Linked DNA regions of Drosophila melanogaster. The protein of the gene in region 1 interacts with the protein of each later gene in a pairwise test. Each region holds a gene or a part of one and is shown on either strand. Other genes may lie near its edges.

Evidence for each region. The genes of interacting proteins can lie anywhere in the genome.
Region 2: the proteins of CG15764 (region 1) and PICK1 interact in a two-hybrid assay, tested with the Drosophila melanogaster proteins (one large-scale study listed by BioGRID).

Annotation. Positions count from the first base shown.
Region 1 is NC_004354.4:5,866,845-5,871,280, forward strand, and holds CG15764 (uncharacterized protein), read left to right. Parts: upstream 1-2,250; 5' UTR 2,251-2,337; coding exon 2,338-3,219; 3' UTR 3,220-3,422; downstream 3,423-4,436. Other genes in the region: GAA1 (glycosylphosphatidylinositol anchor attachment 1), read right to left, coding at 4,259-4,426.
Region 2 is NT_033779.5:12,693,279-12,700,042, forward strand, and holds PICK1 (protein interacting with C kinase 1), read left to right. Parts: upstream 1-1,754; 5' UTR 1,755-1,837; coding exon 1,838-1,884; intron 1,885-2,026; coding exon 2,027-2,245; intron 2,246-2,557; exon of another isoform or gene 2,558-2,862; intron 2,863-2,913; exon of another isoform or gene 2,914-2,988; coding exon 2,989-3,100; intron 3,101-3,147; exon of another isoform or gene 3,148-3,192; coding exon of another isoform or gene 3,193-3,993; exon of another isoform or gene 3,994-4,045; intron 4,046-4,187; coding exon 4,188-5,543; 3' UTR 5,544-5,639; downstream 5,640-6,764. Other genes in the region: CG6153 (uncharacterized protein), read left to right, coding at 1-124, 188-378, 442-566; IFT43 (intraflagellar transport 43), read right to left, coding at 709-970, 1,026-1,148, 1,216-1,239, 1,296-1,537, 1,596-1,634; CG5781 (uncharacterized protein), read right to left, coding at 3,193-3,993; CG17036 (uncharacterized protein), read right to left, coding at 5,874-6,428, 6,493-6,764.

The DNA of each region.
Region 1 (4,436 bases):
ACCGAATTCGACAAACTTTACAAATTGAGAGAAATTGGCAGTTTTGACGGCATTTTTATTCGCATGCAATATTATTTCGTTATTTGTTCACTTCTTTCGGTTTGCACTCGCAAAAATCTAGAGATCATTTGTTTCAATCAAAATAGTTGCTCTACGAATTTTGTTTTACAATGCCAATGAAAGCAAATAATCCCATTTTGTACCAAAAATCATTTTCCAATTTTACGCCTAGAAAATAACACAATTATTCTCGTAACAATTGACAGAATCATTCAAATATGGATTGTTATACCTCGTTAAGTTTGTATTTAAATTCCCAATCGAACTGTGTCCAAAAATGGGAATTCTATTTTTTAGCCATTTTTTGTAAATTTTGATGATGTTACCCCTTCCGAAAATGCGAAAAATGACTCAAAAATTATTTTTTCTAAATTGGTCCAAAAGTGATACAGATGGTTAGCCTTCGTTATTAGCTGCTCAAAACAGTTATTTCTTTGGTTTTATGATCATTTTTAGTCAAGTTATGATGAAAACGCTCATCTAAAGTTGTTTAATTTTTGCCAAAATCATTTTTTTCGATTTTCCGTCATAAAATAGTCAGTTTTTTGGCCACAACTTTAAAAATAATTGTCTGAATACGGAATGTCATATCACGTTGAGTTCGTATTTAAATTCCCAATCGAACTGTGTCCAAAAATGGGAATTCCATTTTTTAGCCATTTTTTGTAAATTTTGATGATGTTACCCCTTACCGAAAATGCGAAAATTGGTCCAAAAATTAATTTTCCTAAATCGGTCAAAAAGTGATAGGGATGGTTAGCCTTCGTTATTAGCTGCTCAAAACAGTTATTCTTTTTGCTTTCTGATCACTTTTAGTCAAGTTATGATAACAATGCTCATCTAAAGTTGTTTAATTTTTGCAAAATAATTTTTTTCCATTTTCCGTCTAAGATCTCAGTGTATGTCTATAGTCTTTTGGATGCTTTTTTCTCGTACCTGTCTTTCTATGCGTTTGTTTTCCATTTCACCTGCCCAGTTTTTCGTACTCATCGTTGGCATTCCAAAAAAATGGAGTGCCACGTGACTCCTCGTTGTGGTGGTTTAGGGGGGGGGGGGGGAGGACTATATAGGTCGGGCGGATTGACGCCGCTTGTGCATTGTTTCGAGGGGGCGGACAAAGCACACAAATAACTGTCAAAGTTTCAATTCTTTTCGAAAGTAAAGCCCGGGTAAAAAAAAAAAAAAAAACAAGAAACCGAATCCGAATCCAAAAGCAAACAAAGGCAGAACAATGGTCGAGCAAATTGAAAGCTCTCGATTGGTATTCCTCTATTCCGGACTTGTTTTCCCACTTTTCACTTTTCATTAAAACAGAAGCAGCACGGAAGCGTTGAAAAAAAATCCGCAAAAAACAGCGAAACTAAAATTGAAGTCGCTCTACAAATGGATAAACTCAGTTTGGCAATGGATTTTATTTACAGATCTCATTCAAGGTTCAATTTATGAAACGATTAATAGTTAAAGCAATAAATTTTTTAAAGGGCCGTTCAAGTAGGTTCCATTATCCTTACATCCGCGATGAATGCATGGCTGTTCTGTCCAACCGACACGATAATGCACATACTCATACATATGTACATATATGTTGCACATCAATCCCCCTTTCGCCGACATGCAAAGTGCAACACCTCTCGTTCTTCGAACAATTTTAATTATTTCCACACGCAGCAGCGACGCACTCAGTAAGTCCATGGGCGGCAGAGGGAACCGGCAAAAGAGTGGTCGTTGGAGTGGGATGGTGGGGGGTGGGGGGGCGAACCCGACCGCAGGGAGTGTGTTGTTGGCTTTAACGGGGAATTAAGTCGGGCAACAGGAAGTCAGCGAGCACAATAATTAAGATGAGCGCTCGAGGGGCAATTATGTGACATCAACTTGCCAATTTTAAAACACCCCCGCCCCCCCGCAATCACGAACTCTCCGCATCCCTTTATCCTTCAGTCGAAGGATAATGCGAACGTTTTGGCCAACAGTGGGCTGTGTATAAAGATTTCTAACCATATATAAATATTCTTCGAACTGCATACTTTGCGACACATTCATACACTCAGAGAAAAAAACCTTTGTAAACTTGTAATCTTGGAGTTGGAGTTTTCCGAAACCAGTAGGCCCGTCTCCAACTGGCAACACTTCATTTCACCTAATTTGACAGGGACACACACAACACGTTTGCTCTACGGTTCGGTCGGTAGTACCAAATCTTATATACACTACATCTTCACAGTATAGCCATATATATATATTAATATTATCAAAATTTTCCACTAAACCTGCTTTGGAATGAGCACAGAACATCTGAATGACGCGGCGGAGTCCGTGAGTGCCCGGAGTTTGGCTTTGGATCGCGCTATCGTCAATTTGGTGCACCAGGCCCGTCGCCTCCATTTGAACAGCGTGAATGGCTATACATCTCTGGAGGCATCTCTGGAGAAGGCAGTGCCAGAGTTGCTCACGACTAGGAGTGATACCGCACACCCCACCACCACAGCGACCAGCTCGGCAAGGTCTTTCCCGAAGCGTAGGCCCAGTAGCCTAGCACCACGACCTGCGCCCAAGGCTTTCAAAATGCGCAAGACCGATACGCATCTGAGGACCCCACGTGTCGTCCAGTGTAAGACGGCCCGTATCCCGGTGACGCCACCACCACCGCCACCCTCGCCGCGTTGCCCAAAACCTGGGGAACTTAGTTCGGCCATGGACATGGCCGATCTGCTTCGGATCGAGATCGCCGAGACGGATGCACTGTTGGATCAAATGCTATTCGATGCCAAGGCACTCGAACGCCAGGTGGCGATCCAGTGTCAGTTGCAGAGCGATGCGGAAATGATCCGCAGCCTGGAGATGGAGTACAGTGGGCGATCCATGAGATATCTGATAGAGGCCATTCAGTCGGACTGCGAGAGCCAGGATGTCCAGGATCTCTGGAGCCGATGTCAACGCTCTTTGGAACGCCACGCGGAGCGACAGACGGAGCTGGAGTCCAAAGAGGGTCTGTATCTGGATCGGAATCCAGGCAAGGGCACCGGCAAGGGCACCCAAACCGATATGGCTGACTCTCAGGACGAGATGCTACCTATCTCGTCCAATTCGATTTGCCAATGGTTGCGAAGGGCGATGGGTTCTTTAAGCCAAGAGGATCAGGTGCAGGAGATGGCCATCTAGCGCAGGCCAGCCTTGAATAGTATTTGAATAAAGATACACAACTCTAAAATCACTTGTGTGCTCTGCTGTTTTAACGATGGCCCATAGAAATATTGAAAAGCTGCGATTAGACTAGAACTGCGAGGATTAATTAACTACTACTTGAAAAAGTATATATATTTGTTAACTGATTTATACAGTGATACAGCTCAGTGATTTGACCGAACTCATCTTACAATCTATCTATCCATTTAATAAAAAGATATTCGAAAATTTCTCATTTCTACATTTCGAGTGAAAGTACCACTGTGCCGCCGCAACTTTGTGTCTGCCTTTGAATGGTTGTGTGAGGAAAGTTTTCTTGTTAAGTTGCAGATTGAATGGCGCCGGTAAACACGGTGCGGCAAGTGCAGGGCTCCCAGCTTCGAGGACACCATGCATCCATGCCTCTGATTGAGCCAAATCCTGGCTCATAACTAATTGCCAGCAGCGACGACGATGGCGCTGGCAGCGGTGCAAAGTTTAAATTAAGTTGCGTGTCATAGTCGAAAAGTTTTCCACTTATTCAAAGAGGCACGTGCTCCACTGAGCACTACTCCACGGAGAAACTCCTGTCCTCCACTGGCCAATAACGCCAGCGAAGACGGAGGATTGACAAAAGAAATAATAACCAACGGATGGGAAATATATGCATTACTGCTTTACGTGCAAACAAAGTTGCAAATATAATGGAAAATCCATAAATCACAAGAAGCTACTGATAAAGTTAACCACTTAAGTAATTTAAAATGATAAGTTAACTGGGAATCAACATCGAAAATGCCGTGGTATATTTAATATTTTTTGGATTACATTTACACTTAGTTATTCCAACTAATAAATAGGCTTCTTTTATTTAGACATTTAATCAAATGCATAACATTTAAATGGAATTTTCTCTGCATGTGCAATCTCTTACCGCCATCACACACAGTTTTGTTGGGTTTATCACACTTCATCTTAGGATCATTTCCAGTTGATATATGTAGCCAGTGAATGGCAATCCGTGCTGTTCGTCTCCTCAATTCGTTTTCACCTTTGACTGCGGCTGCGGCGACGTTGATGGCGACTCATCGAAGTCCAGGTAATCTGCGTAGTCGCGTCGCTTGGACAGCGACAAGGTCCAGCAGATGATCCACAGCGGCAGGAAAATCGTGCAGATGACAAAGTACAGCCAGTTGCCATAAATCTGCAATAGG
Region 2 (6,764 bases), on another chromosome or scaffold:
AGTACGTGGAGAGCGATGCGGATGAAGAGCTCCTCTTCAACATTCCCTTCACCGGCAACATCAAGCTCAAGGGCATCATCATAAGTGGGGCCAATGATGACTCCCATCCAAACATGGTCAAAATGTAAGGAACAAAAGTCAAGGCTGCTTTAATATTACTATATTCATCATATATCTTATTTTTCAGCTTCAAGAACCGACCCAGGATGACCTTTGATGATGCCAGAGCAAAGCCCGACCAGGAGTTCCAGCTGACCCGCGATGCCCGCGGAGAAATCGAGTACTCACCCAAAGTGGTCACCTTCTCCTCCGTGCACCATCTCTCCCTCTACTTTCCCAGCAATTTTGGCGAAGACATAACACGCATTTACTATATAGGTAAGCTCACAACAATCTATGTTTTATCTGTGTTCCCAACTAAAACCAAGTCACTATTCAAAGGTCTTCGAGGAGAGTTCACAGAAGCTCATTACCATGGCGTAACCATATGCAACTACGAATCCCGTGCCAATGCAGCGGATCACAAGGAAAAGGCTTTCGATGGAGTCGGCAGAGCCATCCAATAGGGTTATAGAGATTAAAATTTACAATTTAATTGAGTATCTCTGTAGTGTATATATTTTGTGATCATTTAAGGCAAGAAATGTTTTTGTATTCGCTTAACTTATTGAGCATTTGTATTGCACAGATATTGTGGGCTAAATCATACTAAGTATATTGTGTGGGTGGAATCACATCGGGTCCTATTTTCATGCCCATATTGGGCACTTTATCCGAATGGATTTCAGCCGTGACCTCGGTGAACAGCTTGTCCCACTGCCAGAGATCGTCCTTCTCGTTGAGGCTCTCCTGTGGAACCAGGCAATCGGTGAGGATTGAGAGATCAAAGCCATCCACAGCTGAAAAGGCGTACTGGGAAAGCAAATCGGAATTGGCCTCCTTCAAAACAGCAGATCGTGAGGTGCCAATACTACAAATTACAACTTATTATCGTAGTGAAGAGAAATATAGCAGCTTCTGCTTACGTTGGCGGTTCTACAATCTCATTGAGCATGATTTCGTCCTTGACATCATCCATGTCTGGGATGACGGGAATGTCATCCGTTGGTATGGAATTTGTAGCCGACTTTGTTTGTTTAAAGCGCTCACTAAAATGAATTTTATCATTATAACAGTCGGTGGAAAGTGAAGTTATTGTGATAAACTTGTACTCACTCATCAAAGGAGTTTTTCTTGGACCTAAAAAGATATAGAGCAATCAGTAATGTGCCTAATTCGAGCCTAATCATACCCACTTTAATCCTTTGAGTCCAGAATCCGCCCAGCCACCTGAAATGCGACGAATGGGTGGTCGATGTGACTCGAATTCATTGTTGTATGTGGACGAGGTGGCCGTGTCCGAGGTGGTCGGTGGGGTGCCCGCCTGGACATTCAGCGTAATGTCGATGGAAATGTCCTTGGAGCCCCCAGCCGCCTGGACATCCTCCTCCTTCAGAACATCGCGACTCTTGGAGCGCCGACCCTTCCTGGCCGTCGTCTAGGGTGGCAAATAAATCGAAACTTCAATTTGCATCCATTTAAACAGGGTTACTTACCTTTCTTATGGTCATCTTGAGTTCTTCGGCCCAGTCCATCATCTTTTGTTTACGTTTATCCTCAGCGTTTCCAAGGCAACAAGTGGTCATGGTTACTCCGTGGGAATGTTCAAGTTTACTAATGGAGTTTGCCATTCGCAACGCGATGCGATAGTTTTCAAATCAGTTACCTATCGCCGATGACAGTTGGCGGAGCTTCAAGTGGCCAAAATAAACAAATATTTATTTTCTAATAACGCAAAATGCTGACGGACACGGAAGATGACTTCTTTTTCGAAGAGGATAAGATGTAAGTGGCCATTGAAAGCAATAAATTGCTGCAACACCTACGCCCAGCTCTATTTACGCACAACAATCTGTTGCGATGTGCCGAAAAGTGTCTGTTAAAAATCAATAATTGCCACCAAACTGAAACATATTGTTGGAATCAGGCCAGAACCGCTGCTCATCCAGTTGGATGGGGATGGTGCTCAGGCTGTCCGGCAGCCCAAGGAACGCACGGAGCAGCGAGAGCATGCCTCCGGTTCCGTCGCTCCCAACGAGGCCACCGTTATGCTCTGCTCCCCGGCGGGATTCTCCTGCGATTCCGCATCCGGGGACAGGTTCGGCATCGAGTCCGCCAGTAGGCAGAAGTATGAGTTAGACCGTCTGTAAGTCAACTCCGTTGACCCGGAATCGTTCCCATACTATTTCCTGTGGCAGCTCTGTTTTCTAAGTTCTGGTTTTTATAGTCTTTATCCTGTAGTTTCTACCAAATTAGCTTACTCTTGGTTTTTTATTGATTTTATTCTTTTAAATTCATAAATTGGTGTATTTATATTAATAGTAGCATATACACTTCTTTATTTAACTATTAAAAATTTAATTTTGATTCAGTTGCTGTTTTTTTTTTAATTATTTACTTTTTAAAGAGCGAACACAGTACTATATCCATTTTTTGTATAGTAAGAACTACAGAACTAGAACTAACAAGATTGTTGTTTATTTAGTTTATTAATTCCACCGAAAAAGGACAAATGTGAATTTCCTTTGTAGAGCCTTAGATGCTTATACTTAGGCTAGCTAGTATACAAACTATATTGAATTCGAGGTGTCCTTTGGCTTTCCAAGTCCCATCCTTCGAAAGCGTTAGTATCACGATGCCTTAGAATAAGCTGTCCCGATCAACAGTTTTCCCCATACAGCCCTAGCCAAACTTGATAATAATCCAATGGCCTTGCTAGAACTGGTAACATGGCTAATTAGAAAATCGCACCAATCGAAGTGAGTACGTATGGAAAACTGATATGGAATCACCAGCACATAACCATATATACTTCAAATCATGTAGCACGCGTAGATCACGCTTCAAACTATATTTCAATATCTTAACTTCTTACCAACCTTTATGCAGGGGCATGACTGTCAGCACGAATGCTGTCGTCATTACAAAGGATCAGAGCAACCTGATTGGCATCAGCATTGGGGGTGGAGCACCCATGTGTCCATGTCTGTATATCGTGCAGGTAAGTCTGAAAATCATGAACTCATAAACTCTCACAAAGATCTTTTTGCTGCCATATTCAGCTTGTTTCAAATTTAATTTACAATCTCATTTCTAGGCTGCCTGAGAATCTTTTCTAGCGGTGACCCTTGTTTGCTTCCAGGGATTCGGCGTAGCCTTGAAATTTGTCATTTTGCGTAGCTTAAAGTACTCGCTTCTTTCCCGTGCAAACCAATCGATGGTCTGCTGCTCCAAACGCCGATCCATCCGTATCCTTTTCCTCTCGTCATACACTTGGCGGCGCAGAGCACGCTCCGACGTATGGAGATGAAAAGGTTTTGGATGGGTAAAGGAGGACTTGACAAGCGGCGTAAAGGGCTGCCGGTTGAGGTAGTCCATAGAAGAGCCTGGATTGATTCGGGGCACAAAGTCGGATGTCTTTCGGCTCTGCCTTTGCTTCTTTAGGCGCTTGTTTAAAGCGACCATTGACGTGGCCAGCGTGGCAGGGCATCGGGGCTTCGTCACCGTTTGCAGAGAGTTCAGGTACAGCTTGCGCCTTTCCAAACGACGATGAGATCGCTCGAAATCGGGCACAGGTCTGCTCCGGAACTGAAACGCATTACTTTGCATGTTGGCCTCTCGTTTTAGCTTCTTGCGTTTCTCAGTGTAAACCTTCTGGAATTTGCATACCCTTGGTGTCTGTTTTCTGGTCGTCTTGAGCTTTTTGGGCTTTGCCTGGCTTTGGCCACCACCCGCCTGTGTACGCTTGCGCTGATGCTTTTGCACGTCCCGCTCCTGAAGCGCCGCCTGCAGCCTCTTATCCAACTGGTCGAATCCCGGAATCAACTTGGGTCTCGCATGGGACTCATTGCTTAAATCCTTTACGGACCAATTAAACCAGTTGGTGATGGTCATAATTTGGCTAACCAAATCGGTTTCAGTTGCGAAGGACTAATCTTAAACGATAATTTTGAAACTTAAAGTTATGAGTACTATTTGCTTGGTTTTATAAAAATGTTTACGTTTTGACACAAGTATGATTTACAAACTGTAAACAATAGCTTTCCAAAAAATGCAATGCTATAAATGTCACATCTTGTAAACTCTAGATCTTCGATGGAACACCCGCTGCTCGTGAGGGATCCCTGCAATCAGGAGATGAACTGTTGGCTGTGAATTCGGTGAGCGTGAAGGGCAAGACGAAAGTGGAGGTGGCCAAGATGATCCAGACGGCCACCGACGAGGTGGTTATCCATTACAACAAGCTGCACGCCGATCCCGAACAGGGCAAGACACTGGATATCATCCTCAAGAAGCTGAAGCATCGGATTGTGGACAATTTGTCGAGCAATACGGCGGATACGCTGGGTCTATCCCGCGCCATTCTGTGCAATGATTCGCTGGTCAAGCGACTGGAGGAGCTCGAGGGCACTGAACTGATGTACAAAGGACTCGTAGAGCATGCTCGCCGGATGCTCAAGGCCTACTACGATCTTCTGCAGACATATAAATCCTTTGGGGATTGCTTCACCCAAATATCGGTCCATGAACCGCAACAGCGGGCATCGGAGGCGTTTCGAACGTTTGGCGAGTTCCATCGCACCTTGGAGAAGGATGGCTTGGGCATCATCAAACAGATAAAGCCAGTGCTGGCCGATCTGGGAACGTATCTGAATAAAGCCATTCCGGACACAAAGCTCACGGTGCGTCGCTATGCGGATGCCAAGTTCACATATCTTTCGTACTGCTTGAAGGTCAAGGAGATGGACGATGAGGAACATGGCTTTGCTGCCCTGCAGGAGCCACTTTATCGCGTCGAAACGGGCAACTATGAGTACCGTTTGATACTGCGATGTCGCCAGGATGCACGCAGCAAGTTCGCCAAACTCCGCACCGATGTTCTCGAGAAGATGGAGCTGCTGGAATGCAAACATGCCATGGATCTGAACAAGCAGCTGCGAAGCCTGCTCGAAAGTTTGGCCGAACTTCATAGGAGTTTGGTGGATCGACTAGACTCGCTGCCACCGCTCTTTCCCATCGAAGTGGACTTCAAGGAGACGGACTTTCAGTACAAGTCGAGTACCCTGAAGCCGCAGGAGCTGGACGATGATGAAATCGAGGCCAACAATCATCCGCATTCCACTCCTTCGCAAGTCGATTGCGGTTTCGAGGCTGTCGAACAGCCGGCGGCAATTATAAATGTGGAAGCGGCCAAGGCGTCCGTTGATTCGTCCACCTTACAATCCGCCAGCGAGAACGAAACGTTGCTCAAGGAGCTGGGCCTGTACGATGTGGATCTGCTCTCCAATCCGCAGACCATTAGCAACCAAAAGGACTCCATTGCTGCCCAAAATGATGGCTACGATTTCGACTTGTTCTTGAACCAGGCGACTGCAGCCACCACCAGTTTGGAGCGCGATCTCATGTCCTCGAATGCGGAGGAGATGGACCTGCTACTGCAATAGGCTACTTAGTACAAATATTAAGTAATGTGTTAGATAAATATTAAATGTTTCAGTATTTGGTGTAGATATCAAAAAATATTAAAAGCCTTTCAATTTAATAGTAGCTTAGACTTTCATTTATGTTTTATTTCTGTAAAGTTTAACTTTATGGAAAGCAAATTCTTTGCTCAACAACTGATTTAACTTTTTACCTTTGTACTAGTTTGTTTAATTGATGGAATTTCTTATATACTATGTTGTTTGAATAAATAAGATAGTAAATAAGAAGTCCTGTATTTACAAACTTGCACATTTCGTCCTGTTTTGATTTGTGTAAAATCCTATATTATCTTATGTTAAAGAAACCACATTTTCCACACTCGACTTGTTAGTCCTGCAAAACAGTTTCACGCAGATAGACCCAATTATGGATATTCCACCCAAGACCACAAAGTAGCTACCGTAAACCACGTACTGATCCCGCGGCTCCAGAGCGAATCCAACTCGCTCCACAACCGCAACGGTCAGAATAGTCTGCAGGATCAGACCCACCAACGTATTGATACCGAAGATCAAGCCGAAACTGTCCTCCACCAGATTCTCGGCCACCACGGCACCCGCCACCGTGATGATGAAGAAGAATACGGTGCAGAAAAGCACATAGTTCACGTAGGCCACCCAGATCAACTGCGTCTTGGCGGCATAGATGAGCAGAGCGCCCAGGGCAGCGGCACAGATGGATATGCCCATCATATACGATCCCCGTCGCTTATTGGAGTTCAGCAGGCCCGCCAGAATGGCTCCAATAGCACCCAGCAGCGTGGCCACGGCCTCCACTCCGCCATTGTAAACACTGAGCTTATTCGGTGCCACCTCTTTCCACAGGAACTGGATGTAGGAGATCACCTAGAGGATTTAACATAATTAGTTTATTACACACTTAACTTCTTGCAATAAACGGCCAACTTACTTGAACTTGACCACAGGTGGCCAATGCCCACCATATGCTCCACTGCAGCACGACGGGATTGGAGTAGGAACTAACGAGGTGGTACCACAGCAGGCGGCATGCGTTGGCAAAGGAGAACTTTGGTGAGGTCTCTTCTCCGTCGGCAATGGTAATCTTCTCGGAACCCGCGTAGAAGTAGAGGCTACGCGGCACACTGGGCAGGAACAGGGACACGGCCAGGGAGATTAGCTGCGTGGCCAGCGAGAGGTAGTGCAGCTGCCGGTAATCCATGC